Sus scrofa: one gene and its partners. The protein of the gene in region 2 purifies or fractionates together with the protein of the main gene of each other region. This does not show direct contact. Links are inferred from orthologs where the notes say so. Each region holds a gene or a part of one and is shown on either strand. Other genes may lie near its edges.

Region 1 (3,039 bases), on a different chromosome or scaffold from region 2:
CTCTATGTTTCAGAAATGAAATATTTGTTATAACCAAGTTCACACTTAAGGGGGAAGTTTTTTTTTTTTTTTCCAATTTTTGGTACAGGCATTTGATCCCAGAGGGAACTGTTTTACCACTAAAATTTTTTAATAAAAATTATATATATTTAAGAGGTGCAACATGATTTGATATACATATACACAATAAAATGGTACCACAAACTAATTAACATATTCACCTCCTCACAATTTTTAGTATTGATACAGTATTAACTATAGTTAACTATAGAGCTCTAAACTTACTAGTCCTATCTAACCGTAACTTTATACCAGAATAAAGATACTTTAAAGTTATCTTTCTCCCAGTAAAGAATTTATTTGGCCGTCATACAGGTTTTTTTAATCCATTCATCAGATGTTTTTTGAGAAACAATCTCTGCGAGGCTCTGTGGCTAGCATAACAGAAGCATATGATACAAGACATCATCTCTTTTTCATTAATATTTTTAAAAATATTACTATTTGAATTTATTGAACTTCGCATTTTGGGGTTTTCTTTGTGGATTTCATGCTACAAATAGATCAAGTAGATAGATGTCTCACCCTCAAAAAAAAAAAAAGACATCATCAAAAAAGTAGTTTTTCTCAAGTAGTTTGTATTCGTGTGGGGAAGTTCTTAAACCAAAAACTGGATATAAAGTGATAATAACAAAGAGATGTACAGGATGAAAAGAATTTACATCTGTCTGGAGTAGCCAAAGTCAATTTCAGGGAGATACTTTCGAGCTGACTTAAAAGGGAGAAGTGTTTGCCAGGGGAACAAAAGCATTCCACGCAGATGGAACAGCTCGTACAGAGAACTGGAGAGAGCAGCACGGGAACGTTTGAGAAGTAGAGGCTGAGGGCCTGTAGGTGGGGTGAAACTTGTTGGGAGGATGTCAAAATTAGAAGCTCAAAAGGAGGAGCCTGTTGTGGGGGCCTGAATGTGTCGGAACTGGTGCTGTACTTAGGTCACTAGGCGGGAAACGGCGGCCCCGCAAGCGATGAAAGAAGTTTCCACACAACTTGTAAGAGACATGGCTGGGGTCAGACCTTGAGTTTCCTGACTTCAGGGTGATCCACCCCTGGTTGTGAAACGGCTACTGTACCCTCTGTAGCTCCGAAAGCGGAATTGCACAAAGAGCTCCTTTCCCCAGTTGCTTACAGCCTTGTACTACTTGTTTCCCACTTCCTCTCGGCCCCCCATCCGCCCGAGGATGCTTCCTGCCTCCCAAACACCGCAGTCCATTCAGTCTCTCAAACCCACACACAGAGGTCCCAAGAAGTCTCTGCGAACCAACCCTCGGAAACCACAAGTCCCAGCATGCAAAGCTCCTGTTAGAAAAGGGCCGCTAGATGGACCAGCATGCAACGCTCTGCGAAGGAGGCGGGGCTCTCTATAGGGAAGGCCCACTGGTAGCGTTGCCGAGGCAACTCCAATTCCGTGACAGAATACACTTCCGCCTGGGAGGCCGGGGACCGCGAGTCGCGCTGCTTTGTCGCTGTGACGCCATCCACCTGCGGCCGCGCGTGTACAGAGGTTCCGGCGGGTGGCTCCTCTCCGGCTTGAAACCTTAGAGCGGCTTCTTCTCGTCTGCGGCTTCTGACCTGCGAGCAAAGGAAAAAGCAACGAGATGACAGACCGCTACACCATCCACAGCCAGTTAGAGCATCTGCAGTCCAAATACATCGGCACCGGCCACGCCGACACCACCAAATGGGAGTGGCTGGTGAACCAGCACCGCGACTCCTATTGCTCCTACATGGGCCACTTCGACCTTCTCAACTACTTCGCCATTGCCGAGAATGAGAGCAAAGCGCGAGTCCGCTTCAACTTGATGGAGAAGATGCTGCAGCCTTGCGGCCCGCCCGCCGACAAACCGGAGGAGAACTGAGACCTCACCGTCTCACCGCTGTACGTGAGCACCTCTCTGCGTTCCTCCGGTTTGTCGTCATTCCCGCGGGTTCCTCTCCCAAGTGGACGGATTCTTCATAGCTCTGCTTTTCGTGCTTTCTTTGTACAGAGGTCCTTACCCGGGGCGTTCCGTCCGACCTGCCTTCCTGTGGAACAAAGTGTTGGGAGACCCGTCATAACCCCTGAGAAACTGAACAGTGGAGAGATCCTAAAGTCTGCAGACGTTAGAGGAGATATGGCTGGAGTGAGATGGGATTAAGAGGCTCGTTTTTGGCTAGTTGACTGTCTTCGTTGCTTTTTCTATAAAGTTTAGAAATGTTTCGGTCTCTTGGTGTGGACTACTTGTGTTCTGGTGGAGGGGCCAAGGAGGGCTCTGGGACTGTGGTTTGCCGGGTGGCGGGGGGTATAAAGAAGGGAAGGGTTGGGGAGGGGTTCAACAGTAGCACAGGGCCAAAGTTCGTTGCCAGACACTTAAATACGCTCTTTATAATATTCTCCAACCCTGACTTCTCCCAGGAACTTTTCTCAGGCCCTTAACACATTCACTATTGAGGTTTGTGATCACTGTGTCCTTTTTCTTTCATACAAAAAAAAAAAATCTTGACTCGCTTTGCCTTCTCTCTGTAGATTACACCTCTTTCTTTTGGAAATACGTGGACATATCTTGAGTATTGACAAACTGTCAAATTAGTTCTTAAATTCATTCAGCAAATACGTGTTGAATTTTATGTGGCAGGCTTTAAGGACCTATATTACACTGGTTGGGGGAGCAGAAGACCACAAAATTTGCAGACATAAGCAAGCACATGTTGGAGGGTGCTGTGGAGAATGAGAGTAGCAGTAGGGTTGCAGTTTTAAGTAGAATGCTCAGGAGTTCCCATCCTGGCTCAGCGGAAACAATCTGACTAGGATCCATGAGGATGCAGGTTTGGTCCCTGACCTCACTGAGTGGGTTAATGATCCGGCTTTGCTGTGAGCTGCAGTGTAGGTGGCAGATATGGCAGGGATCCTGTGTTGCTGTGGCACAGGCCAACAGCTACAGCTCTGATACAGTCCCTAGCCTGAGAACCTCCATATGCCACCGGTGTGGCCCTAAAAAAAAA
Region 2 (3,382 bases):
ATAAAGAGGTTAGGTTATTACCTGAGCAGGTATTTCTCAGAACCATCTTGCCTCAAGAGGGTAAGCGCATACAATGTGAAGTTTGAAGACAATTCTCTTTCTGTCTGTTTTCCCAGAAAACAATAAATACAGTCACTTCTAAACAGCCTTGACTCAATTAAAAACTGAATGAAAGGATTTGTGAAATGTTGACTGCCAACAAAATCCTAGCTATGCTCAATGATTTGAAGAACAAGAAATTTAGATCCTGCCCAGGTCTCATTTTCTTCTAATCTCCAGGATGATCATTTTGCCATTAATAAAAGTCAATTTTTTTAAAAAAGAGAGAGAGAAAAAAAGAATGAACTCTAGGATGGCAGTTCATACGCATAAGAAATAACATTACAGAAAATCTAATCAACTGTTTGATCTAACTCTACTTTTATTAACATGGTTCCATGCTTCTCTACCATTAGCTGCTTAAAATAACACTAGAAAAGATCCCTGTTAGTTTTATATACCCTTAGCATGTGTTCTAGACTAGCACTAGCATGCGATGATGGGACAGTGGGCCCATAAATGAAATATTACATACAAAATACAAATAAATGTTTATTGGGCAAAATTAAGGCCTTTGCAGTTCACAGTTCACTGAGGCTAACCAAAGACTAGGTAATTTTTTAAATCCTTTACAAAAATTTCACATACACATCCCCACTCCCCCAATAAAATGGCCTGACCAAACATTATCAAAACAAACACCATAAATACCAAGTCCTTTAAAGACAACTATCCCAAATGTTATTTTTTGGCATAAGTGATCTTCATGGCATGGGATGGTGTGATCTTAAAGCCCTGTAAAGCATCCCTGGCAGCTCCAGCCTGTCCATCGTTTTCAAATTCAACAAAAGCAATGTCATGCCTCCCAGGTACCAAACGTACTTCCTTGAAACCAGGGAACCTATAAGGAAGAAAAGCCATTTTTATATATGGAAACAATGTATACATATATAGATACAGAAATGACATCAAATACACAAATGTCTATTCGTGTTTAAGTTTGTTAAGCAACACCCTGATATTAGTCCACAAAAAGTATCATATCCACCAAGAATCCTGAGCAGGAGGAAAGAGCCTGAAATGTAATTAATAGCATGAGAAGAATGGCAGGAATCATGTAAACTAATTCTGGTTTTGTCATTTCATCAAAGCTTTGTTTCCTGTTTTACTCATCAAATAGCATTAATAATTCAAGCATTAGAGGTAATTTAGCTTTTTCGTTTGCTAAACCTGCTAAATGGTTTCAATTCGTGATTAATCCTGGAGCAAATCAATGAAGCTGTAAGAATTACTGCCACATGACACACAAATGGATTCAACCCAGGGAAGAGGTAGATGTCCTGTCAGAAGGCTCTCGGAACACAGACTTATTTATGAAAACACTTACTGATTAAACAGCATGGATAGCATCATCTCATTAGTCTCTTCCGGTAAATTATTAAGGAATAAAATATAGTTTGGAGGATAATCAGGGACCTATAAAAAGAAAAGGCAAAGCTAGCTTAGAAGTATAAAAAGCATGGTAAGCCATTTAGCTCTCACATTAAAATCTAAACTTCAGAGAACAACTTTCCACTGTTTAAGGCTTGTGAAATCTTACTACATCAAACACTAAGCTGAAAAACAATGACACCAGAGAAATAAACAAAAACCTAACAGTGACTAAACAAGTCACTTAATACAAATTTAGAAAATTATAAATCTTAAGAACGGTTTTTAACAGTACTTAAAACAATATTTAAGTTAAAACATCTGGAGGTCAGTTAGAATTGGAGGATTTTGTCTTCTGGATTACATGACCAATCCTAACGAAACTAGATAAGGCAGAGATGTCACCCACCCTCAGGTACTCAAACCCTCTGCACTACTGCTTACTACTTCCCGGTGTGTTAGAACATAGGGAAACAGAATGATTTCTACTTAGAACCACTACTTGGTGATTTTTAATGTTTTCTGCAAATCAATGAGATATACATGGCATCTAGTTACATACAAATAAGTAGAAACGGACACTGTTATTAGATATTAAACTAAATTATTTGCTACCTGATCCCAAGGATACAGGGAATCATAGCAAAAGGTTCTTATATATAAGAGCCCCCATCTTCGGGTTAATTTCATGGAAGAAAGATGAAATGTAAAGAACTTAGGGCTCAGAAAATTAAGTGCTGGCATTTGTGCACTGAACTGTAACTGCTGAAAGACTACAAAGAAGTAGATAAGCAATTCCCTAGATGTAAGGATCCTGTCAGACTCTAGCACCCAAGGGACCACATGGGAAACTGTTAGTCCATGACCGAGGCTTTCTCTTGAGGCCTTTATTGGGAAGACCTGGTAACGAGTTTCTAAAACACCTGTATCAGGAGACTTAAAAATATCTGTGCTGAGGAAACAAGAGCAAAGGAAACTGTAAAACAATTTGGCTCTATTAGAAAAGATGGGTTAGTGCCTTAGCCAACTCAACCCAAGGCACAAGTCTGGAAAGCTCTGGGCCACATACTGTGGAAAAACATCAATTTTCCTCCTTGCCTTCACAGAGCTTAGAAGCTGTCATTTTGACTCTGTTATTGATTCATTGTGCAGAGTAAGGAATAAAGAAAATTAGAATGTTTTGAGGAGTGAGTTTCCACATTAAAGTGGTATATAATTTAATGTACTGTGGCTTAGAGATGGAATAATTTTCGGTTTTGGAAGACATGCAGGTTGTTGTATATTTCTGTCACTGTTTTATAATTTTATTTTAAAATAAGTATCACATGGAAAAATAATATTACCTGAGGATTTGGTGTTGCATTTCCTTGGGTATTAGCCGAATTTGGTGTTCCCTAAGCCAAAAAAAATAAGAGAAAGTTACAATTTCCAACCCTTCTAAAAAAACCCAGCACGGAGTTCCTGTCGTGGCTCAATGGTCAATGAATCCGACTAGGAACCATGAGGTTGAGGGTTCGATCCCCGGCCTTGCTCAGTGGGTTAAGGATCCGGCGTTGCCATGAGCTGTGGTGTGGGTTGCAGACGCGGCTCGGATCCCACATTGCTGTGGCTGTGGTGTACGTCAGCAGCTACAGCTCTGATTAGACCCATGGCCTGGGAACCTCTGTAGGCCGCAGGAAGCGGCCCTAGAAAAGGCAAAAAGACAAAAAAAACCCCAAAAACCCCAGCAGATATTTACATTTATAATTACTGCATAAAAGTATGATTAACAGATTTTTTTATTCTACCTTACTTTTGCTGCAAATTTACATTTCAAAAACTCACTCAAACATTTATGTATAGTAGAATATTTTTGAAAGGTCTAGCCCTAACTTTAGACTATATCATAAAATTCAACCTCCAGGCTTTAAAA
Region 3 (4,007 bases), on a different chromosome or scaffold from region 2:
TGATGGCCATTTGGGGTTGCTTCTATTTGGCTATTGTGAACTAAGCTGCTATGAACATTTTTGTACAAGTCTGTGTAGACACCTGAGTTCACTTCTTTTGGTGAACTATCTAGACAGTGGGGTTGCTGGGTCATCATGCACATGGATGCTTAATTCTAAGAAACTGCCACACTGTTTTCCAAAGTGCTGTACCATCTGAGGACATCTCATTCCTCAAAAACATGAGTGTTCTCTCATCAAAAGAAAAACTGGGTAAACTGAGGTTGTCTTCATAGGATGGGTATAGGAGCTATAATGAATCAACCTATTCTCTGTGCAAAAACATGGACAAGTTTTACAGACAGGGGTCACATAAACAAGCCACATAATAATGCACATGGTCTGACGCAAGGGCTGTTTTTGGTAAGCCAGGGAAAGGGAACGAAACTGGGCAAGGGAACATGAGGGACTTCAAGCTGATTTTGTTTCTTTTACCAAAGACAAAAAGAATATACAAAACAAAACTAAAAAACTCCATGAAGCAAAAATGACAAAATGTGAACATCTGTTAATTCTAATTGATAGGTACTTATTCATTGTATTCCTCTTCATTTTTAGACTTTTTTTTTTTTTTCTTTTAAAAGGGAATACAGCTCTAAGACTAACTTCCAAAATAAAGGGTTTTAATTAGTCTGAAGGGATCTCTCCAAGGTTTCTTGGGCTTGCCTTAGTTTTTTTTTTTTTTATTTTTTATTTTCCCACTGTACAGCAAGGGGGTCAGGTTATCCTTACATGTATACATTGCAATTACAGTTTTTCCCCCAGTTTTTTTTTTTTGTAGAATGCAAACTGGCATTTTACATGTTGCCTTGTTGTACTAGACGTGGATTAAAGAAGTCTTACTCCTGAGAGGTTAGTATCAAAAGCTCACGTGCAGGGGTACCTGTTTGGAGGGGGTGTTATTGGTAGCAGATGGGTACTTGATATTTTGCAGCTGCTGAAGGGCTGCCTGGTACTGCTCTGGGGAGTCGAGGCTGAAGGCGCTCTTCCATACTGCGGTCACCCTTTCCACGAAGCACCCTTCGCTGCCCGAGGGCCAAGCATTGTAAGAGGAGGAGGCGCTTTTGCCCTCCGAAAGCTGCTTTTCCTCTAGCTGCTTGGACAGCAGCTCCAGAAGGCAGAACACCAATCTCTGACCCTGGAACCAACAACAAAGGAGAGGAACTGTCAGGCAGGGAAGTGCTCAGTTATCTGGAGATTTCTCCAGTCTCTCAGTCTCCCTCTTTGCATTTGAGCAACCACAGACAATTTTTCCAGATGCCTTTTGAAAGATTCCTACCCAGAGCCCTTGGAGCTTAAGCAACCATATTTACAACATGAAATCCCAACTATAGCCCTATTCACCGAAACTTAAGCCACATGCAGCCCAGCTACCTACGACTTGTGGCCCAGTTTGAGCCAAGAGGGGGTGGACTCATCCAGTTTTTTCCCCTTGCCCAAACCTCAGATTAAGGAATACAGAAGTTAAAGCTTAACAGGCAGAAGGTGCTGGAACAGACAAGTTGTGTAGCTCTAAGGGCCGGGGCAGTGGTTAGGGGCCATGTCCAAGGAGGTTTAACCGAGGGAGTCAACTAGAAGAGAACAAAAGCAGAGAAAAGGCCTGGAGAAATACTTATTTTTACTGGATTTTCAGTTGCCATGAGATTCCTTGTGTACCCCCATAATATTTTCTCAGTTAAGCTTGGGAAGGTCTTTGTTCTTATAGCCAAAACAGCCCTTAGCAGAACAATGTTTAGCATAAACTTAGGTTTTTTTGCTTTATTAAGGTTGCCATTTTAGGGGAGAAAAAAAAGAAGTGCCAAATAACCACTCTGGAAACTTTTTTTTGTTATGGTTATCTCTCTAAATTTGGTCACTTTATAAATAATATACTAACCGACACTATCCTTTGAGGGTGTTCTACTTTTACCTCCATTTTTTATTTTGCAGTTCCCAGAAAGCTACGCCTCGCCTAACATTTTTCTTGGGTAAGGAATATTCAGCTAGGAACTCGGGTCTTTAGGCTGAGTACTGAAGGGAAAGAGGAACTGAAGAAATTCACATATTGCCTGACAAGCAAAGCTGTCTAAAATGGACCAGATGTTTACATGTTTTAAAAACTAGGTGAGGGAGTTCCCATCGTGGCGCAGTGGTTAACGAATCCGACTAGGAACCATGAGGTTGCGGGTTCGATCCCTGCCCTTGCCCCGTGGGTTAACGATCCGGCGTTGCCGTGAGCTGTGGTGTAGATTGCAGACACGTCTTGGATCCCGAGTTGTTGTGGCTCTGGCGTAGGCTGGCAGCTACAGCTCCGATTAGACCCCTAGCCTGGGAACCCTCCCATATGCCGCGGGAGCGGCCCAAGAAATGGCAAAAAGACAAAAAAAAAACCTAGATGAGTGTGCTGATGCTTTTAAAACAATCTGAATTTTGATGTGTCAAAAAGGACAGTGGTTATTTAAGTTACTCATTTTTAACCAGATGGAACAGAATACTTAACACAATGGTTTGATTTCCCCCAATTCGTTACAGCTTACAGTTGAAGAGGGCTGCTTTGGGCAGAGCACCAGCCAGCCTCTCTCTTCACTGATGTGCTGATGACATCAATGACGGGAGGCCAGACTGCCAGCCCAGAGAGGCTGAGCTGCTAAGCAATGGCGATACCTTTCAGGGACCACATTATCCCTTTCTCTGAGTCGGGTAAGGGAGAAGCCACAGTTCTTAAAGGGGCGCTGCATGGCCAGGACTTGCTGGACGCTTCTGGGGATAGCTGCCAAATTGGTACAGCTTGTCCAATTGGGTAATTCACTCAGACTCTGACTAGAAAAGGACTTGGGGCTCTTCCCTCTTAAAAGCAGGAGAGGCAGTAACAGACTGACCTTGAGACTTTCGTGGAGCTGCAGGGCTTCCTGGGCTCCCACCCAGTTCCTGGCCATAAGCAGCTCTTGGGCACATCTGAGAGCCAGGGAAGCAGACAACTCACTCTCTCCTACGATGGAAGCCAACTCTGCAGCGGTTCTAAGTGATGCCGCGTCCCCCTTTTTGGCCAAGACTTTGGCTGCGTCATAAGCCGAAGTGGCCCCTAAATAGCTGAAATACAAAAGAAAACTCAAGCCAAGGGTCATAGACAGATCTCTTACTCCTGCTTCATAGCGGGTTGAATCATTTCTTTCTGTCCACTTTGCTAGCGTGCTTTGCCGTGGTCCCGGTTGTGGCACTGCCTGTGGCTGTCCCTGTGAAGCCTGAGGCCAGCGCAGAAGGGAATGAGGCAGCATAATACAGGTTAAGGAGATAAAAGAAACCTCAACAGTTGCCAAGTTGAGCATAAGCAAAGAAGTCATTCCCTCTCATTTTCCACACTTAATGATAGAAGACATCCCCAAAGAAAGGTGTAATTTCTTGGACAGTTATGGTCATTTATATAAATGCCAAGTAGGTAGACCTTGATGAGTCTTATGAAGCTGGGTTTAACACACATATGCTTTTTAATTTGCTGGTCACCTTACCCCACCTCTAAACTCCTCGCTTCCATTCTTGTCCTGCTCTCTGTGGAACCTCTTCTTTTTGGGCGCCCTCCTCTTTGCCTCAGACTTACCATTTGGCTGCTAAGGCATAATGACCGTCTTTTTCTAGGATGGCTCCCCAGCTGAGGTACAGGTCTCTCAGGATTGGGTCCTCTGGGCGCAGCCGGGCCTTGGCAATGGCAATGGCCTCCCTAGAGGCAAGAATAGGCAATTAGCCAATCTGAAAAGGCTCCTCTGTAAGAGACCCTCAGAAGGGCTGCAGGGCAGGATAAACTGTCTCTTTTATGTTGTCTGTCTTGTTCTAATTTCCCATAAAAAACAGTATTCCTGTATTGAACGGCAGGTTAAAACCATGTGCTGCATTCGGTTTTTTCCTAGGTCAGCAGTTCTTAAAAGTGTGGTCTGTGGATTCCTGGGCATCCCGAAGGCCCTTTTAGGAGGTTCATGAGGTCAAAACTATTTCCA
Region 4 (4,662 bases), on a different chromosome or scaffold from region 2:
CTGGAGACGCTGCTACCTGAGGGGAAGGCCTGAGGTCCAGGTAAGAAGGCAAGACAGTGACTGGGAGTGGGAGAAGGGGCTTGACTGCTGACCCAAATGTCCTAGAAGAAACCAGATGTTTCCAGAAGTTGGAAAGGCAGTGGGCTGGGGATTGGGAAGTGAGGTACCATTCCTGTTGGGATCAAAGTGGAGAGGTATGGGAGTGTGGGGGAAATGCTTGTGGCTTATATCAAGTGGAACCTAAGGCATAGTTGGAGTAGGAAAGAATTAAGGATGCCAGAAGTAGCAGACAGAACTTAGAAGCAGAGCTAGAGCTGCAATAATAGTCCTCTCTGCCTCTCTTCACCCCCTCCCCAGATGGGCCTCTCAGCTCCCACAATCGCTGGCCTCCAGGATGAGCTATCCCATCTTCAGGAGTTATTAAGGAAATGGACACCAAGAATATCTCCTGAGGATCACTCCAAGAAAAGAGATCCAAATACCATTCTTTCCCAATCCCACTGAAATTGCTGGCTCTCTCATGGGCGGGGCAGAGAGTGGTCTGGGGTGAGGGAGAATTCTGTCTAATCCTTCAAATCTTATCTGGTTTTACTCCCTCAGCTTTCATATGCCAGCCTTTAAACAAGCTCACTGACTTGAGTTTCCATAGCTGATAGGTGGCTAACCTTATCCAACTCTTACCCTATCCTTCTTGGTTTAAATAGTTTCTTGTGACCTGAAGAATTAAAGAAACAAAACCAACAAAACCAATCCGGAATATGATTGCCCTTTTTTCATGCATTCCAACCCTTTTGGATGGAAATTTTGGATACTGAGCTGGTAAATTGTGAGGTCAGAGAAACAATTTGTCAGTGCCAACAAGATGGCCTACAGACCTCCTTCTCACCTCCCCCTGCTGCTCCTTTGATTCCAATTTCTATTTCTTCCCTTAAAGTTTTCTCTGGGTGTGGTGTGGCTATGGGAGACACCCAGTCTTTTCCAATTGTATATTTTTGTAACGGCATTTCTATTTAAGGAGTTCATTAAATCACAGTATTTATACACACTGCTGGCATTGTTTCTTGTGTCTGAATAAAGGAACCTAGGTAAGATAGTGATGGTGTGACTCAAGAGAGGAAGATACAGACCGAATTACTGCTAAGGAAATAAGGGGATGGTTCAGGTGAAGCTCTGCAGAATTCATAGTTTGGGTTCTCCCTGTGGTGCTGATGTGGCAAAAACAGACCCAGACGTTGTTGTTGGGGCTGGGGTGTGCTCTGGGGGTTGAGACCAAAGCCTCTGGACTTCAGTGTTAACCACTCTTCAGCGCTGGTCACACACACTCCCATCTCTGAGCCTCTGGTTCCCGTCACCCCCAATGCAATACTGACTAGGCAAGCTCAACGTCACTCCAGCTCAGACATTCCGCAATCCCTTCCCTGAGGAAAAATGAAAGCCCAGGCCAGGACTATGGGGCCCCATCTGTCCAAAGGCTGCGGGCCGGGGTGGACAGCTGCCTCCACGCCTTGGGCAGAAGACCCTTCTCTGGGAATCAAAGGAGGCCACAAAATATACGAAAAATATTGTTCTCTTAGCTCCTGAATTGACATTTTTGGGAGCAGCGTGATCCTTTAACTTCAAGCACTGCCTTAGGGCGTTTGAGAGATTCCGATCCGCGTTCCCCGCCCTAACCTGTCAGAGCGGCACTTCAACACAAAACCAAAGACCGCGGAACACGGTAACACCAATCACTTCAAGTCTCAGCGGCTCCTAAAATGGCCGCGGCCGCTTCCGGCTCCTCCCCTGCATAGGCCCCGCCCACCGCCTCTACGTCCGCCTTCGCCCCGGAAGTGGAAGTAGTACTGCGGTCAGGAGGCGGTATCGCTGCCTGGAGACGGCGGGAGGTCTTTCGCCATGGCTGCTGGGCCGATCTCCGAGCGGAATCAGGGTGAGTGGAGGGCACAAGTCCGGGATGGGCCCAGGGGAGTTTGGGGGATCTCGGGTTACAGCCAGCAGTGTTTCCGCCAGGGCGGGAGATTGGAGCATCCCAAAAGGCGCTAGACCGGCCTGATGCCTGCTGGGGCGGGATGGACGGGTGCCCAGAGGCTGAGGCCTGTAGGTGTGATGTTGTCTATGTCCCATCCCCTGCTGCCTTCCCACTCACGCACACAAAAAATTACAAAGAGAATGTGCGCCAGAACTTTAAATTATATTTAAGAAGATTTTGTATTACCTGGAATGGAGGGCGGTGTAGGGGTATAAGCTAACGTCTTTTTTTTTTTTTTTTTTTTTTTTTCTTTTCTTTTTCTCTTTGCTCCAATACCCCATCTCCACCCGCAACTCCACCGCCTGGGTTCCGACTTCATGTTCCCGTCACCTCCTTATTTCCTCTCATCTCTGTCCTAACCTCCTAACCCTGTCCTCCAGATGCCACTGTGTACGTGGGGGGCCTCGATGAGAAAGTTAGCGAACCACTGCTGTGGGAACTGTTTCTCCAGGCAGGGCCAGTAGTCAACACCCACATGCCAAAGGATAGAGTCACTGGTCAGCATCAAGGTGAGTACATGGCAAGAAGTGCAGTTATTTTTCATTTAATTTATTTTTTGGTCTTTTTGTCATTTCTAGGGCCGCTCCCGCGGCATATGGAGGTTCCCAGGTTAGGGGTTGAATCGGAGCTGTAGCCACTGGCCTATGCCAGAGCCACAGCAAGGTGGGATCCGAGCGGCGTCTGCAACCTACACCACAGCTCACTGGCAACGCCGGATCCTTAACCCACTGAGCAAGGGCAGGGATCGAACCCACAACCTCATGGTTCCTAGTCGGATTCGCTAACCACTGAGCCACGACGGGAACTCCCAAGAAGTGCAGTTATGTTTTGAGGAAACAAACTGCTCCTGGAAGGTCCCGGCAGTATTCACAACTGTTTGGAATAAGCAAGCTAAAGTTTTCTTTCTCTTAAACTCAGTTTGTTTCTGGAACCATTCTCAGTTGAAGTAGGATTATTTTTTCTTGTTCTTTGTACTTTAGAAGGTGAGTTATACCTCATTTTGAATCGCTTCACTTAAGTTAACTCTTCTTTTCCATTTCCCTAGGCTATGGTTTCGTGGAGTTCTTAAGTGAGGAAGATGCTGACTATGCCATTAAGATCATGAACATGATCAAACTCTATGGGAAGCCGATACGGGTGAACAAGGCATCAGCTCACAACAAAAACCTGGATGTGGGAGCCAACATTTTCATTGGAAACCTGGACCCAGAAATTGATGAGAAGTTGCTTTATGATACTTTTAGCGCCTTTGGGGTCATCTTACAAACCCCCAAGATAATGCGGGACCCTGACACAGGCAACTCCAAAGGTTATGCCTTTATTAATTTTGCTTCATTTGATGCTTCGGATGCAGCAATTGAGGCCATGAATGGGCAGTACCTCTGTAACCGCCCAATCACTGTGTCCTATGCCTTCAAGAAGGACTCCAAGGGTGAGCGCCATGGCTCAGCAGCTGAACGACTTCTGGCAGCACAGAACCCACTCTCCCAGGCTGACCGCCCTCATCAGCTCTTTGCAGATGCCCCCCCTCCACCGTCTGCTCCAAATCCTGTGGTATCATCACTGGGGTCTGGGCTTCCTCCACCAGGTAGAGCTTTCTATTCAGAATATGTTTGTCTTAAATTGGGGGGAGGGCAGGAAGAAGGAAAAAGAACCTGGAAAGGAGGGGACATTGAGTCAGTAGGTGATGAGAAAGGGGTTGAGAGGTAATGGATGCAGTGAGAAGAACATTGTTGAATTGTTCTAGCATTTTTTTTTGTTTTTTGTCTTTTTGCCTTTTCTAGAGCCACTCCCATGGCATGTGGTGGTTCCCAGGCTAGGGGTCTAATCGGAGCTGTAGCCACCGGCCTACACCAGAGCCACAGCAACGTGGGATCTGAGCCACATCTTCGACCTACACCACAGCTCATGGCAACGCTAGATCCTTAACCCACTGAGCAAGGGCAGGGACCGAACCCGAAAGCTCATGGTTCCTAGTCAGATTTGTTAACCACTGCACCATGACAGGAACTCCTGTTCTAGAATTTTGAAGTTGTCTAAGTTGCTTCTGACTTTAGAGAGCTGGAAGGAGGGGAAAAGAACTCATCTTGCCTAGAGGCCAGATTGGAACAGGCCCCCTAAAGGTACTCTCTTCTCACTATCATGAACTCTTTTTCTATTTTCTCTACAGGCATGCCTCCTCCTGGCTCTTTCCCACCCCCAGTACCGCCTCCTGGAGCCCTTCCACCTGGGATACCCCCAGCCATGCCCCCACCACCTATGCCTCCTGGGGCTGGAGGACATGGCCCTCCATCAGCAGGAACCCCAGGGGCTGGACATCCTGCACATGGACACTCACATCCTCACCCATTCCCACCGGGTGGGATGCCCCATCCAGGTGGGTTTTCTTTGCTGGGAAGGAGAGGGATTCTTTCACCAGTTATGCTGCTGTTCTCTGTCCTTCAACAATAATAGAGAGTCCCTTTCTTTAGACATTCCTTTCTTCCAGACATTTTTTTTTTTTTGTCTTTTTGCTATTTCTTGGGCCGCTCCCGCGGCATATGGAGGTTCCCAGGCTAGGGGTCGAATCGGAGCTGTAGCCACCAGCCTACGCCAGAGCCACAGCAACGCGGGATCCGAGCCACGTCTGCAACCTA
Region 5 (4,777 bases), on a different chromosome or scaffold from region 2:
ACACCACAGCTCAGGGCAACGCCGGATCGTTAACCCACTGAGCAAGGGCAGGGATCGAACCCGAAACCTCATGGTTCCTAGTCGGATTCGTTAACCACTGCACCACGACGGGAACTCCATTTTTTTTTATGCACATTAATGTTTGATGAGCATTGCCTCACAACATTCAAGAATTCTGATGACCAGGGATGAAGTCCTGAGATACATATTAAAGCTGTGGTTTGGGAGATCACCTAGGCTAAAGGAGAAAGTATCCATGAAGAGACTACGCTGAGGGTAAGCCAAGAAGCACTCCAGCATGTAATGGCTCAGGAGACAATGAGGCAGCCTAAGGAGACCTAGAAAGAGTCATTAGTGAGATTGAATTAAAACCAGGCATACTTGGCATCCTGGAAGCCAAGAAAGGAGCATGTTTCAAAGGAGAGTGTCTGTTTTGAATGCTGCTGAGATGCTGAGTAAGAGGAAGACAGAAGTTTGTATTGGGTTTTTGATCACCATTAGAAAAGCAATCTCAGTGTATTTGAAGATCGAATTACAAGGCAATAAAAACAAGTTATAGACAGCTCATTTAAGGAGGTTTTCTGTGGAAGAAATCTGGTGGGAGCTAGAGCTGCATGAGAGGAGAATTTTTTTTTTTTAAGACCTCACCTGCAGCAAATGGAAGCTTGAATCAGAGCTGCAGCTGAGGCCTACACTACAGCTACGGCAACACTGGATCTGAGCTGCATCTGTGAACTACGCTGCAGCTTGTGGCAACACTGGAGCCGTAACCCACTGAATGAGGCCAGGGATAGATCCCACATCCTCATGAATACTAGTCAGGTTCTTACCCTGCCGAGTTCCCACAACTGGCACTACAAAATTTTTTCTTTCTTCCTTTCCTTTTTTTCTTTTTCCATTTTTGGCCATCTCCGAGGCATATGGAGTTCCCAGACCAGGAATCAGATCCAACCTACAGTTGGAACCCACACTACAGCCAGCTGTAGCAATGCAGGGCTGGACATCAAACCCGCGTCCTGGAGCTGCAGAGATGCTGCCCAATCCTGTTGCGCCACAGTGGGAACTCGTTGCTTGTTTGTTTTTTAGATAAATTTATATGTTGATAGAAAAAATCAGTAGAGAAGGAGGAATTGATGATTCAAATTAGAAGGGGATCATTGAAGGAGTGAAATTCTTGAGGAAATGAGATGGGATCCAGACTACAACCAAGAGGAATTTGCTTTCCAAAGGAGCAATAATACTTCTATCGTTGTCACAGAAAGGGAAGCAGAAGGATGGCTTCTGTTTTCTAAAAGTAGGATACGTTAGAGAGTGATTTGGGAGAAGAACTGTAAAAGGTTTGAGATAAAGAGAAGAAAGAAGGTATGAAATACTTTGTGAGCTTATTAGAGAAGCATAACGATCTCTGGGCAGTGCAAGGGACACTTTTGAGGTTTGTGACCAGAATTTAAAGTGAAAATAATCAGTTAAATTGTATGATTTTCTTCAGCACATTAAGTAACGCTGAGATACCTGGTGGTGGAGCATAATCCTTTGGGATTCTCCAATTATTTCCTTTCATTCACGAGAAAATTTGGTGCTACATAATACCCGGAGCCTTGTTATGCTCGCTAATAGGATTTAATTTCCTGAAATACTCTCTCTTACAGGAAGTTTCCTCCTGGATCGGCCCTAAACGCCCTTAACAGTTGCAAGGCACACCTCCTGCCGCCAGAGGCCGCACTGGCGCTACTCGCGGCCGGAAGGGAGAGTGGCCCAAGCGCAGCCTCGGCGTTTCCGCCGTGAGTGCGCAGGGATCCGCGCGCTCTTTACGTCGATCCCCGGGAGTAAGCGTTTCCGGTCATTCATTCTCCCTGCGGGTCGGCCTCTGCGGTGGGGTTTTGTGTACTATCGGACCGAGAGGATGAAGCTCGTGAGGTGAGGAGGTGACCGAGCAGGGTGGGTACTATGAGGGGATGTCCTGGACCGGGAGCGGGGGGGTTGAGCTGCCCGAGATGCAGGAGGCGCGAAAGCCGCGTGCGCGCGCGGCCTGCTAACGGCCTTCGGCGCCCGCCGCTCCCGCCCCATCTTGGTCGCGTCGCCGCGGGCACTCGACCAGGCTTCAGACTGGGTCGCCCAGGGATCTGCGGGTCTTCCGAGAGGTTGAAGGCCGGGCGGTGTTTTCCCATCAGGTGTCTTAGAGGCCTTAAAAGTACAGAGCCAGGCTTACAAGCTCTTACTTTCGGTGAGTTACAGACTTCCGTTTCTGTTAGAACGTTTCTGGCTCGTCTCAGCACTCAGGAACCGGCAAATTTAACTAGGTCCACGCTTCCTGAGAACGTGGGAGACATAAAAATTGTACATCCTGCACAAGTAGTTTAAATTAATGCATATTTTTTAATGAAACTACCGTCACACTTAAAAGAGTACTTAGAAGCTGCAGGGGTTTATCTGGAGATAATGAAATCCAATTCCGAAGTATTTTAAATCAGGGATCAGGGATGGACTTCTGATTTCCTGAGGTTTTTTTTTTTTTTAATAGTGTTTTTTTTCCCTCTTGTTGTTATTCCCTAGCCTTAAGATTATTCAACTTACATTTCCCTTTAAAATAGCCCTTTGATTTAGGAAAAAACCTCTCAATATGGGGTAGAATCACTCTTCCGTACTTTTTGGCTGATTACACAGATAATCGAGATTTATTCTGTTTATTTCTGTATTTAAATTTGGTCGATTAGTTGAGCCTGCTGAAGACTCGTTTACTGGTTGAGCTAATTCATCACAAAAACTACCTGCAAATAGATTGAGTTCTGATGTTTCTCCTTGAGGCTGAGAGCCTGGAACATAGAAGCAGAGGCTTTTACAACTCAGCCGGCAGTTATAAACTAGCTTAACTAGTTTATTGTCTGTTGAGTCAAGAATTGTCAATGTCGACCAAATAGTTAAGCACATGGAGTTCTTGGACCAGGGAACACATCCTAGCTGCATTTGCAACCTACTCGGCAACTGCAGCAATGCTGGACTGTGCCGGTGGGGATTGAACTGGGGATCGAACCTGCATCCCAGTGCTCCAGAGACGCCAAGAATCCCAGTTGTGCTACAGCAGTAGCCCACCCCCCCCTTAAAGAGTCCTATGTTGTAGTAGCGTTCGTTTTGCAGAGAAGATAGACAAGAAGATAGTTTGAGATAACATAAAGAATCCTCATTGTCATATTCAGGCTGGTGTTTGTAGAGAAGGCATTTAAGATTGACTTTTTGTCTATTTTTTTCCCTTCCAGTTTTATTGAGATGTAACTGGCTTTCAGCATTGTGTAACTTTAAGGTATATAACATAATGATTTTTTTTGGCCGTGCCAAAGGCATGTGGAAGTTCCCAGGCCAGGTATCGAACCTGTGCCATAGCAGCAACCCAAGGCTGCAATGACAACACTGGATTCTTTCTTTATTGACCAGCTGCACCACGAGGGAACTCCCACAGCATAATGATTTGATTTACGTACATCATAAAGAGTGTAGTGAACATCCATCATCTCATGTAGATATAAAATTAAAGAAATAGACAAAAAAATTTTTTTTCTTCTGATGAGAACTCATGATTTACTCTCAACAACTTTAATATATAACATACAGCAGTATTGATTACATTTATCATATTGCATATTACATTTCTAGTTCTTACTTATAACTGAAAGACTTTGTCCATTTTATTTGAGGTATAACTTTGAAGGTAAACATCTCAGAACTTAAAGTTTATTTTTTTTTCTTTTTTTTAGGGTCACATCCACGGCATATGGAAGTTCCCAGGTTAGGGGTCTAATCAGAGCAACAGATGCCAGCCTACGCCACAGCCACAGCAACGCCAGATCCAGCCATGTCTGCAGTCCACACCACAGCTCATGGCAACGCCAGATCCTTAACACACTGATCGAGGCCAGGGATTGAACCTACAACCTCATGGTTCCTAGTCGGATTCATTGTAGCTGTATCCCGACAGGAACTCCTAAAGTTTATTTTCTTAATGTCTGAATACTTGCCAGTCAGAGTCTTAGTATAGATAATACTCTTTGGAGTCTTTTGTCCCACTTAACGATAGTCCATGTTGTGACAGAATTTTCCTATAAAATTTTTTTTTTTTTTTTTTTTTTTTTTTGGTCTTTTCTGGGGCCGCACCTTCGGCATATGGAGGTTCCCAAGTCTAATCATAGATGTAGCCACCGGCCTACGACAGAGCCACAGCAACTTGGGATCCAAGCCGCATCTGTGATCTACACCACAGCTTATGGCAACACCAGATCCTTAATCCACTGAGTGAGGCCAGAGATTGAACCCGAAACCTCATGGTTCCTAGTCGTGTTCGTTAACCACTGCACCACGACAGGAACTCCTCCTATAAATATTAATGCTGTACTGAATCCTATTCTGTGTCTTAGACTATAGAAGCAAAATTCCTAATAATTGGAGAATGTATTTTGCACTGGGAAAATGGGTTTTGTATAACTAGTTTGCTAGGGATCCAGTCTGAGCTATAGCCAATGGCCTGTTCCACAGCCACAGCAACATAGGATCTGAGCTGCGTCTGTGACCTATACCACAGCTCATGGCAACGCCAGATCCTTAACCTACAGCAAGGCCAGCGATGCTAGTTGGGTTCACTAACCGCTAAGCCGTGAGGGGAACTCCTTGACTTAGCTCTCTCAGTAATCCTGATAATGTGATAAATTGCCAGGTTTTGGTGTTTTTAACCTGTTTAATAAAGTATCTCACTATCCTGTTATCTTGATTTTTTAATTTTTGTTTTTTA
Region 6 (4,581 bases), on a different chromosome or scaffold from region 2:
GTTTTATTTGGTGTGACATGTCCCACTTATTAAAGGTAGACAGGATCCAAATGTAAAGATTGCTGAGTTGCTTCTCGTCAACCAGGCACATCCCACCAAAAGGACCATAAGGTGTATTGCAGCTATCACCAGGTTTAGACAGACAGCCGGGGCTTGCCCCTTATTAGCTGCAGGACAGACTGTAAAAGGGGGATAGTAATAATCCCTATTTAACAAAGTTACTGTGAAGAATATGGAAGATAATACCCACATAGAAACTACCTATTCTTTGCACAAGGAAAAATTAAGAAATATTTTATCTCATGCCTTATCCTAGATTAGGTAACCAGATACCTTATAATAAATAGTCTACTGGTACTATATCACATTTCCTTTTATTTATTGTGTCATATGAATAAAAGCTGATTAACCTCCCCTACCCCAAGCCTGCTTTTGGAATAGATCTACAAGCCCTCTATCCTGGCTCAAAGAGTTGAATAAATAGCCACTGGCACCGGAGTTCCCGTCGTGGTGCAGTGGTTAACGAATCTGACTAGGAACCATGAGGATGCGGGTTCGATCCCTGCCCTTGCTCAGTGGGTTAAGGATCCGGCGTTGCCACGAGCTGTGGTGTAGGTTGCAGAGGCGGCTCGGATCCTGCGTTGCTGTGGCTCTGGCGTAGGCCAGTGGCTACAGCTCCGATTTGACCCCTAGCCTGGGAACTTCCATATGCCACGGGAGCGGCACAAAGAAATAGCAAAAAAAAAAAAAAAAAAAAGCCACTGGCACCAAAAAAATGTCAAGGGGCAAAAATGCCATGAGCAAGAATTACAATCAATTCTGCAAAATCAACCAAAGGCACTCTCTAGCCACTCAGAGCTGAAATGAACTTGAACTGTCCCAAATTCAAAAGTCATCACATCCACCCTAACGTTCCTTAATGGTAGCACAAATTAGTGACTTCTGCACATCATGCACTGTGGTATGATTTAAAAATGCAGCATAGTTTCTGGGGGGAAAAAAAAAAAGAGAGAGAAAGTTCCTTTGTGGTGCAGTAGGTTAAGGATCTGGCATTGCCGTAGCTGTGGCACAGGCCACAACAGCAGCATGGTTCATCCCTGGCCTGGGAGCGTCCACATGTGGACACAGCCAAAAAAAAAAAAAAAGAGAGAGAGAAAGACATCAAATTGCCAGTGTTGACAAAAATTTGCTTTTCTCGCCTTTGTGTACTTGATGCAAAATAACTACCTTTTGTTGGAGTACACCCAGTTTGGTTTACAGAACTTGAAAATTATAACCTAGGTGACTGGCTGAACAGCCATCTCCTGACCATAGGAGTCTGCTGTGGATGGCCAAGTGTTCCTAAACGAAAGGAAAGATCAGAGGAAAAGCTTAGTATACACTCACATCCTTCTCCTGGATGGTGCACTCCTTACAATAATAGGCATCTGAAACTCCCGGGCCTCCGCAGATCACACAGCGCCCCTGGTAAGAGCCATAGTTACACTCGTCACATATGCGCACCAGGGTGCAGGGACGCACGTAGGAGTCACAGATCACACACTTGCCATCACCTGTAAGGAAAAGAGGTTGAATTACGCCCACTTGCAAGTACCTCAGGTCCTCTTCCTGCTATGGGTAAAAACACTATGTCCTTCTGACAGTGACTTTAGCCCTCTATTTTGGCATTATAAAATTGGTTTACCTAGCGTCCATTTCTCAATCTCCCCAACACATAGGAAAGCTAATCAATTAATATAAAGGGCTTAGAATAGCAGTCGGTAGATAAGTCTATATAATTGACTGGCAGAATGCTGTGTGTGTTGGGGGCAGGGTCATGCTACTTCTGGTCCAAAGCTAGAGGTTTTGTCAAAACCTAAATACAGTGCCTAAAATGTACAAGTTGGAGCGGGAAGGTGGCCTTTAGTTGCAGTCTGGCTTTGTATTAACATGCTTCCAATCATGTCTATCCAAAGCCCTCTTCGTGGCACCGCTGAAAATGTCCGTTGCTGCCACTATAGAAGCTGAGTGGGAGGGGTGGGCTGTTTGGAGAAGCGTGTTCCACTCACATTTTTCACACAGTCTTCCAATGGCTGCAAGATCAAAGGTGATAAAGAGTACAATTAGGATTAAGGTTTAGAAGAGGGGACAAAAGCCTCGAGCTTGAGTTGGGGACAGGTACAGGGTCTGCAGTGAGCCCTGAGAGGTCTTAACCATCGTATTCTCATAAACTTCAATCCGAACCAAATCCGCACCCTCGTAAGACCTCCCAGGTCCTGGGAAAACTGAGAATTTCTCTATCTCCGCAGCCCCTCTCCAGCTCTCAGCACGCGCGCCCCCGCCCCCCTTTCATCTGAGCCCACAAACCCACGCGCTCCTACACTACCGGCGGCGAGGCGGGAAACGGGGCGCCTCCGAAGCAACACCCTAAAGGAGTAATGGGAACCCCGGACTCTTAAGGTCCTAATACCATCCCCACCCAAACAGCCGGGGGCAGAAGACCGTCTCACCAACACCAGCCTGCTTGCGGCAAAAAATCAAGTCCGGGTGATGCTTAGCCATCGCTCGCGCTCAAACCACCGGAAGCTTAGGGAGCTTCCGCCAGACCTTTAACCCTGATTGTTCCTGCCTCCTCGTCGCCCTGATTGGTTCTCTAGGCGTCCATCAGCGTTTGCAATCTTTGCACCAAGCCCCGCTCATTCTCGCGTGATCAAAGCACTTAAATTCCGAAGACGAATTCCCGTTGGCAGTGGGGGAGTCAGGTCTTGGTAGGGGTGTGCGGGTCATTTAGGGAAAAAAAAAAAAAAAAACTTTCCCAGATTTGAATGGGAGGGACAAGTTGCAGAGCGCAAAGACGAAATTTGCACTTTGATATCTTTGTGCCGGGTATTTACTACCCCAACTTTTTAGGCAGCTCTCTCCCAATTCCCAGGTTGACTCTGGAGCTCCGCCCACGTCGCTCGCGGGAACGCCTTCAGCGTGACGCGTTTCTCCTCAGGTCACGCCCCTCACCGAAGGCCTTAAATAAGCCGCGTGTCACGTCACTTTCAAGCGACCTCATCTTTGTCAGTGCACAAAATGGCGCCTTACAGCCTACTGGTGACCCGGCTGCAGGTGAGCGAACCGAGAGCCCTCTAGGTTTACGGGGGCGGGGTACCTCTTTTGCGCTTGCGGCTATGGGCAAGGCAAGGCGAGGCGGGCCTGACCTCCGGCCGACTTTTCGCGTACCTGTCCCTTGCGCGGGCCCAGCGCAAATACCCGCTCCTCTGGCGCCCGAGGTCAGGGCGTCCCCGGCTCAGTCAGCTCTCAGCCCTGTCCCCGCCCCGCTGGAAGCAAGGGCCTAAGAAGCGGCGGCCGGGTGAAGAGTGGAGGCACGTCTTTCTCATTTTTGAGGACCGCAGTTTCTTCCCCCGTAAGGCTTTTTTTTTTTTTTTTTTTTTTCCTCCCCCGTTCCTCAAGGTGAGGACAAGGTGACTGGGGGGCGCGGTGGTTGGTAAGCGCGCTAGGCCCAGAGCCTGAAGGCCTCACTTTTCATCTCAGTAGCACAGAGTTGCTAGCCAGGTGCATCTACGGTTGCCAAACATGGAGTCTGTAGGGGGGGAAAAAAAAAAAACTATGACCTATTCCATCTTGTGGGGATCCTGCGGAACATGTACCCAAGAATTCGAGGGGGTGGGTTCCGTGCCCAGATGTAGCAAATAGTAATGATGACAGTAGTCTCTCAGCTTTGCACAAGATTGCAAGACTTAATTCCTCACCACATCGTTTGATTCATATCATCATTTCTGGAGATGATTATTTTTATTTGATAGGTGATGACGCTGTTAGAAAACAGGTAAAAGTTCTGCTCTCTGAGTCTTACCAAAGTGCTGTGGCCTGAGCATCTGCCCTACTACTCCCCATTCTCCTTGTCCCTTTCAGCCTGCCCTCACAGAACTTTTTGAGCCAGAGTGTGGTCCTGGAGCTGACATTTGTATTTGTGGGAGTTCCAGAATGGCGTATTTTGAGCTCACAATCAGTTGCTTTTCAGTTACTAGATGGGGAGGGTAAAAGAGACTCAACAGTTTGACCTTGACTGTCCTCTTTTGAACCATCTAGAAGATTGACTGACTGCCATTTCTTTTTTTTTCACTCCTGACTTGACAACCCTAGGAAGATGTTACACTCAAAGGTTCAATGTCAAGAACGTATTTCGTTAATAAAAAATCAAGCAAGCATTCTCCGACAACCTTTTACATTTAAATTTGTGAATCTACATTGGATCAAGTAGCACAACTATTATTGCAGAATTTAAAAAGAAGTAGTGTACTGTACTCTCAGAAAGTATTGTGTTGTCAGAAGTTTTTTTTTTTTTTTTTAAAGTTACATTGCTAAAATTTAAACCATATGGTTTAAAGGGAAATCATTTATCTTAAAATACTTAGGGTCTCTCAATTCTGGGCAAAGACAAGGATTTGTCCAAATTTTCTCTTAGATTTTTTTGTTTCTCCAAGTTAACAATGTGGAAGTAGTTGTTTCTTGCTGATCTTGCTGTCCCATCTGTAGTGAATCTGGGCAAGATTGTTTGAAAAGATAAATTATTACAGATCTGTTGAGCCTGGA
Region 7 (4,706 bases), on a different chromosome or scaffold from region 2:
GTCTGACCGAGCTTCAGCTCTTGGGCAGAATATCTATTTCCCATTCCTTGGTGGCTGCGGGGTCAGGGATTGGAGGTGGGGCCCTTTACCTTTCTGACTTGGAGATTGCCCGGACTGCCCGGGGTCCGCACAACCAGCAGGGGGCGCAGATAAGTGTGCCAGAGACGGTGCGGGTCCAGTCGCCCCACCACCCTCCGAAGCCCGGCTTCGGGGAGGCTTCCGAGCCCCGGACCCTTGGGAAAGAGGTGGGAAAGAGAAGAGCAGAGCGTGAAAAGCACCCTCATTTCAACTCTACCCCGGGGGCTGTCATCCCTAAAAAGCCCCGGCTCCTCTTCCTAATGGCAGATTCCAGCATCAGAGGTTTCTAGGATAAATCCTAGACTCGGGAAAGTCTACCCAAGCCCATCCGGTATAGCCCACCGCAATCCTGATGGGAGAAATCGAAGCCCAACGAGAGGAAGAGACTTCCAAACAGCTGACTTTAGGATTAGAACCCAGAACTCCCAGGCTTACTACTCCAGACCCTTCCTCTTACGGTGCAACCGCTATTATAGAAAAAGCCCGAAGCCTCATTGCATTGGAAAGGGGCATGCGCTCTAACGACGAAGATCGCGGCACCTGCGGCTAGGGCCCCACGATAACGATAAAGCCACGTCAACCTGAGACTTTGAGGAGGGGGAGGCGGGGAATAAGGGCTCCCCTGTCCCCGTCCGGCCTCACCCGCATCTCCCGGCCCAGAGGCAGCTCCTCAGTCTGGCGGTGCCAGCCGCTCCAAATGGTATAGAACACCGAGGCCACCGCCAGCGCCAGCAACAGCAGGGGCAACAGCTGCGCCCGCGGTAGCAGGCGGCGCTTGGGCGGTGAGGGTGGCTCCAAAAGGCCGCGTTCCCCAAGCCGTAGCCGGGGCCGCCCGCGGCCCCCTGAACGCATGGCAGCTTCGCCCTGAAACCGGTCGGGGACTGCGGATGGAGTTTAGGCCAGCCAAGTCCCACCCCATGGAATCACCGGACCAATAAGCAACAAGAGCGGCTGCACCAACCCACCCTTCAGCAAGCAGTAAAGCCAATGGGGACTTTCGTACTGAGGACACGCCTCCCTGTCTCCCTGAAGCTTAAGGGTTGGTTCCCCTGAGGGTTGCACAACCCAAAAGGGAGCGCGAAAGAGGTAGGCACCGCCTCAGCGGAAGAGGGGAAGCCAATGAGAAGCATTTGATCCTAGAAAACAGCCGACCTCCTGGGCGCGGGTCCACGCCCCTCCCGGATGTAAGCAAAGGATTGGTTATTCCAAGTCCAAAGGATTAACAAACACATAAACGGACGGTCCCCTAAGTAGAAGAGGAGGTATCCATCCCTGAAGCGAGGAGCCGATTGGCTTCGTGGATGCCGCGCCCCCGAAGGCAGGGCCGGCGGGCATTTGGAAATGGCTTGTCCTTTCCCTCCTTCAACCTGTGCGGTTCTACAACGAAATGGTTTGAATAAGTCCTGCTTTCTCTTCCTCTCCATCGTCAATATCTGCCCGGTACAGTCCTGAATGGCCTCAAAGTAGTACGTAAGAGTTTTACCCTACAGCCGCCTGTGGCGAGCAGAGATCGCTATGGCAACAGGCCACGCCCCACCCACTAGCTGTGTTTGCGCAAGCGCCCACGGAAGTGGGCCTCAGGAAGCGGAAGTCCCGCCCTTCTCGCTCCTTTCAGAGGGCGAAGAAGCAACGCGGAGACGGTGGTGACTGGAGTGCGCGGTCGCGACAACTACTGCCACCGCCATGTGAGGCCGGGCTAGGCTTAGGTGGCAGGAGTGGGTTGAGGGTGTAAATCTGGCCACTTGCCGGTGGAAGGGGGTGGGCAGAGCCTGGGGCGGAAGCAAACATTTTCGGGGTAAAGTGGCGTACGTTACCGATGAGTTTGAGAACAGATGTGGGGCCTTTTTCGGATCCTGACTTTAGGAGCAGGAGCAGCTTTATCAGATAACGGGCTGGGCTTTCCCAAATAATTAGTCTTACTGAAGCGAATGTTAAGGGGAAGCGATGTACGAAAATGGAACCTGGGAGAGGGGAGTACGGACATGTGGGGAAGAACGATTTGAAGTGAGGATCTTATCAGGGTAATTTGAGCTGGAGACGGTTAGCCTTTTGACCTTATTCGTCGTTATCATGGGTCTCGAGTTATCGGAAGGATTTTACTTACGTATTCATGCAACAATTATTTATTGAGTGTTCATATGTCAGGCTTCTTTAGACACAGAATATGTTAGTGAATTACCCCACTCCCCCAAGGGAAAAAATTCCATTTTGCATTTTATGGGTTGGGTTGAGCCAGGCAATAAATGTAAAGGTAAAATATATGGTGTGTTAGGTGACCGGGGCTATGAATGAAGAAACAGTAGAGCAGGGTAAAACAATGTGGAATGCCAGTTTTGAGAGACAGGACACATGAAGAAGGGAGCAACTGGAGCAGAAAGCTGGAGAAAGTGAGCGCACAAAGATATTTAGGGACGTATCCAGGTAAAGGGGGAAAAGCAAATGCAGAAGCCTAAGAAGAAAGTTGCTGAAAATCTTCCAAGACACCCCTCTGGATGGAACGGAGTGAGAGAAGGCAGCGGATAAAGGGTTTTTACTTTCTACATTGAGATAGGAGCCTCAAGAGAGTTTCGCAGAGTGAGATGATATGACTTGGACCTTGGCACCAACCAGAGACTGCTCTGTGAAGAGCAAACTTGGAGAGCATGGGTGGAGGTAGGGAGACCATTACGGCTCTAGGAGAGAGTCGATGGAGGTTAAGCCATGGTGAGAAGTGGTCAGATTCCGATATATTTGAGAGGCAGGGATGATGGGATTTGCCAGCAGATTGAATGTAGGATGTGAGAGTAAGAAGAGTCAAGTTGACGTTAGAGGTTTTGCTCAAAGACATAGCAAGATGGAGTTGCCATGGATGGAGACGAAGGCAGCTGTAGGTAGATTAAGTTTGGGGGTACCGCGGGGCCTGGTGTTCAGCCTAGGACGTGCAAGCTTGGAACTGTCTATTAGGCAGCTGTGTGGTGATGCTAAGAGAGAGGACTGAGCCGGAGGGTGGGTGTGTTGGGGAGACAGTGAGCGAGAGGGCATGACCACCCAGGCTCTGGCTCCAGGCCCTGTCACCTATGAGTTCCATACTTGCCCACTCAGGAGCCTCCTCAACAAGCCCAAGAGTGAGATGACGCCAGAGGAGCTGCAGAAGCGGGAGGAGGAGGAGTTTAACACGGGGCCGCTGTCCGTGCTCACACAGTCGGTCAAGAACAACACCCAAGTGCTCATCAACTGCCGCAACAACAAGAAGCTCCTGGGCCGCGTGAAGGCCTTTGACAGGTGAGCACCTGGGTCTGGGGAGGTGGTCTGTCCTGGCCTGGAGAAGCAGTCCCAGCTCTAGTCTGAGGAGCCTGGATTCTAGGTTTCTTAGAAGCCTGGGGCATAAGCGTCTGAAGGTGGGGTTCCTGTCATGTCTCAGTGGTTAACGAACCCAACCAGTATCCATGAGGACACAGGTTCGATCCTTGGCCTTCCTCAGTGGGTTAAGGATCCGGCATTGCAGTGAGCTGTGGTGTAGGTCGCAGGTGTGGCTCAGATCCCATGTCTGTGGTTGTGGTGTAGGCCGGCAGCGGTAGCTCCGATTTGAACCCTAGCCTGGGAACCTCCATATGCTTCCGGTGTGGGCTTAAAAAAAAGAGTGCCTGTTGTGACGGTCTCTGTTGTTCCTCCAGCTGTAAAGTTCAGCCATGGACTTGGGGGCCAGTCCTGGAATGATGTCCTGGCTCTGCCTCTTAGCAGCCGTGTGACATTCAGCAAGGGACCATATATCTCTTCCCTACAATGGCCGTAATCTTGATGGTTGCAAAGATTCAGTCACTTAATATATGTGAAGCACAGTCAGTCCTTAGGAGTAGCGCCCCCGGCACACGGTCTTCCTCATCAGTTTTCTCAGTTCGTGCACAGTGGCCTCTGCCCTTGTGGGGTACTGTCTTAGGCTCCAGAGATGCCATGGTGACTGAATCATACATGCCTCCTGTACTCAGGGGAGTCTACAGCAAACACATAATGTGTCAGGAAGACAAGTGATGGCAAAGTCTGTGCAGAAGAGTAGAGCCAGCTGAGAGTTTGGAGTGTGGAGAGGGAGTGCTGCTGTCCTCGGTGGGTCATGCAGGAGGCCTTCTAGGTGGACAGATGGGGATAAAACGAAGGTGCAACCTAGGGTCTGCATGTTTCAGCCATGGGGAGCAGCAAGTGATTTTTCCTCTCTGGGCCTCAGTTTCCTTATCTGCAAAATACTATGCATAGAATAATACCCCTCAGAACAGTCGTAAGGGTCAAATGATTTTCTGTAGGAAGAGCACTTAACTCAGTACCTAACATGTGGCAAAGGCTCAGTAAACATATGATCGGCAGGAGTTCCCTTTGTGGCTCAGCGGTAAATGATCCCTACTAGCATTCATGAGGGCGCAGGTTCGATCCCTGGCCTTGCTCAGTGGGTTAAAGGATCCGGCATTGCCATGAGCTGTGATGTAGGTCACAGAAGTGGCTTGGATCTGGGGTTGCTGCGGCTGTGGTGTAGGCCAGTGGTTACAGCTCCGATTCAACCCCTAGTCTGGAACTTTCATATGCCACAGATGCTGCCCGAAAAAGACAAAAAAACCAAAATAACAACAACAGCAAAAAACCATTGGCAGTCCTCAGCATCA

Evidence for each region.
Region 1: the proteins of SNRPB2 (region 2) and SF3B5 purify together in Homo sapiens (affinity purification with mass spectrometry; 3 studies listed by BioGRID and IntAct, with this or other methods). This does not show direct contact. The link is inferred for Sus scrofa from reciprocal best matches to the Homo sapiens genes SNRPB2 and SF3B5.
Region 3: the proteins of SNRPB2 (region 2) and GEMIN5 purify together in Homo sapiens (co-immunoprecipitation; 3 studies listed by BioGRID and IntAct, with this or other methods). This does not show direct contact. The link is inferred for Sus scrofa from reciprocal best matches to the Homo sapiens genes SNRPB2 and GEMIN5.
Region 4: the proteins of SNRPB2 (region 2) and SF3B4 purify together in Homo sapiens (affinity purification with mass spectrometry; 4 studies listed by BioGRID and IntAct, with this or other methods). This does not show direct contact. The link is inferred for Sus scrofa from reciprocal best matches to the Homo sapiens genes SNRPB2 and SF3B4.
Region 5: the proteins of SNRPB2 (region 2) and SNRPD1 purify together in Homo sapiens (affinity purification with mass spectrometry; 3 studies listed by BioGRID and IntAct, with this or other methods). This does not show direct contact. The link is inferred for Sus scrofa from reciprocal best matches to the Homo sapiens genes SNRPB2 and SNRPD1.
Region 6: the proteins of SNRPB2 (region 2) and PHF5A purify together in Homo sapiens (affinity purification with mass spectrometry; 4 studies listed by BioGRID and IntAct, with this or other methods). This does not show direct contact. The link is inferred for Sus scrofa from reciprocal best matches to the Homo sapiens genes SNRPB2 and PHF5A.
Region 7: the proteins of SNRPB2 (region 2) and SNRPD2 purify together in Homo sapiens (affinity purification with mass spectrometry; 3 studies listed by BioGRID and IntAct, with this or other methods). This does not show direct contact. The link is inferred for Sus scrofa from reciprocal best matches to the Homo sapiens genes SNRPB2 and SNRPD2.

The regions. Positions count from the first base shown.
Region 1 is NC_010443.5:21,229,753-21,232,791, forward strand, and holds SF3B5 (splicing factor 3B subunit 5), read left to right. Parts: upstream 1-1,511; 5' UTR 1,512-1,655; coding exon 1,656-1,916; 3' UTR 1,917-1,936; intron 1,937-2,045; 3' UTR 2,046-2,262; downstream 2,263-3,039. UniProt on the Homo sapiens protein: Component of the 17S U2 SnRNP complex of the spliceosome, a large ribonucleoprotein complex that removes introns from transcribed pre-mRNAs.
Region 2 is NC_010459.5:25,370,479-25,373,860, reverse strand, and holds the end of SNRPB2 (uncharacterized protein LOC768116), read right to left. Parts: intron 2,865-3,382; coding exon 2,814-2,864; intron 1,516-2,813; coding exon 1,427-1,515; intron 941-1,426; coding exon 781-940; downstream 1-780. UniProt on the Homo sapiens protein: Involved in pre-mRNA splicing as component of the spliceosome. Associated with sn-RNP U2, where it contributes to the binding of stem loop IV of U2 snRNA.
Region 3 is NC_010458.4:68,317,018-68,321,024, reverse strand, and holds part of GEMIN5 (gem-associated protein 5), read right to left. Parts: intron 3,734-4,007; coding exon 3,614-3,733; intron 3,109-3,613; coding exon 2,898-3,108; intron 1,178-2,897; coding exon 923-1,177; intron 1-922. UniProt on the Homo sapiens protein: The SMN complex catalyzes the assembly of small nuclear ribonucleoproteins (snRNPs), the building blocks of the spliceosome, and thereby plays an important role in the splicing of cellular pre-mRNAs.
Region 4 is NC_010446.5:99,121,765-99,126,426, forward strand, and holds the start of SF3B4 (splicing factor 3B subunit 4), read left to right. Parts: upstream 1-1,799; 5' UTR 1,800-1,893; coding exon 1,894-1,927; intron 1,928-2,406; coding exon 2,407-2,535; intron 2,536-3,071; coding exon 3,072-3,614; intron 3,615-4,196; coding exon 4,197-4,403; intron 4,404-4,662. UniProt on the Homo sapiens protein: Component of the 17S U2 SnRNP complex of the spliceosome, a large ribonucleoprotein complex that removes introns from transcribed pre-mRNAs.
Region 5 is NC_010448.4:106,796,442-106,801,218, forward strand, and holds the start of SNRPD1 (small nuclear ribonucleoprotein Sm D1), read left to right. Parts: upstream 1-1,759; 5' UTR 1,760-1,903; coding exon 1,904-1,917; exon of another isoform or gene 1,918-1,938; intron 1,939-2,149; exon of another isoform or gene 2,150-2,224; intron 2,225-4,777. UniProt on the Homo sapiens protein: Plays a role in pre-mRNA splicing as a core component of the spliceosomal U1, U2, U4 and U5 small nuclear ribonucleoproteins (snRNPs), the building blocks of the spliceosome.
Region 6 is NC_010447.5:7,069,471-7,074,051, reverse strand, and holds the start of PHF5A (PHD finger-like domain-containing protein 5A), read right to left. Parts: upstream 2,908-4,581; 5' UTR 2,542-2,907; coding exon 2,490-2,541; intron 2,073-2,489; coding exon 2,049-2,072; intron 1,554-2,048; coding exon 1,387-1,553; intron 180-1,386; coding exon of another isoform or gene 135-179; exon of another isoform or gene 1-134.
Region 7 is NC_010448.4:52,039,456-52,044,161, reverse strand, and holds the start of SNRPD2 (small nuclear ribonucleoprotein Sm D2), read left to right. Parts: upstream 1-1,687; 5' UTR 1,688-1,761; coding exon 1,762-1,763; exon of another isoform or gene 1,764-2,662; coding exon of another isoform or gene 2,663-2,730; intron 2,731-3,159; coding exon 3,160-3,339; intron 3,340-4,706. Other genes in the region: QPCTL (glutaminyl-peptide cyclotransferase-like protein), read right to left, coding at 90-233, 721-930. UniProt on the Homo sapiens protein: Plays a role in pre-mRNA splicing as a core component of the spliceosomal U1, U2, U4 and U5 small nuclear ribonucleoproteins (snRNPs), the building blocks of the spliceosome.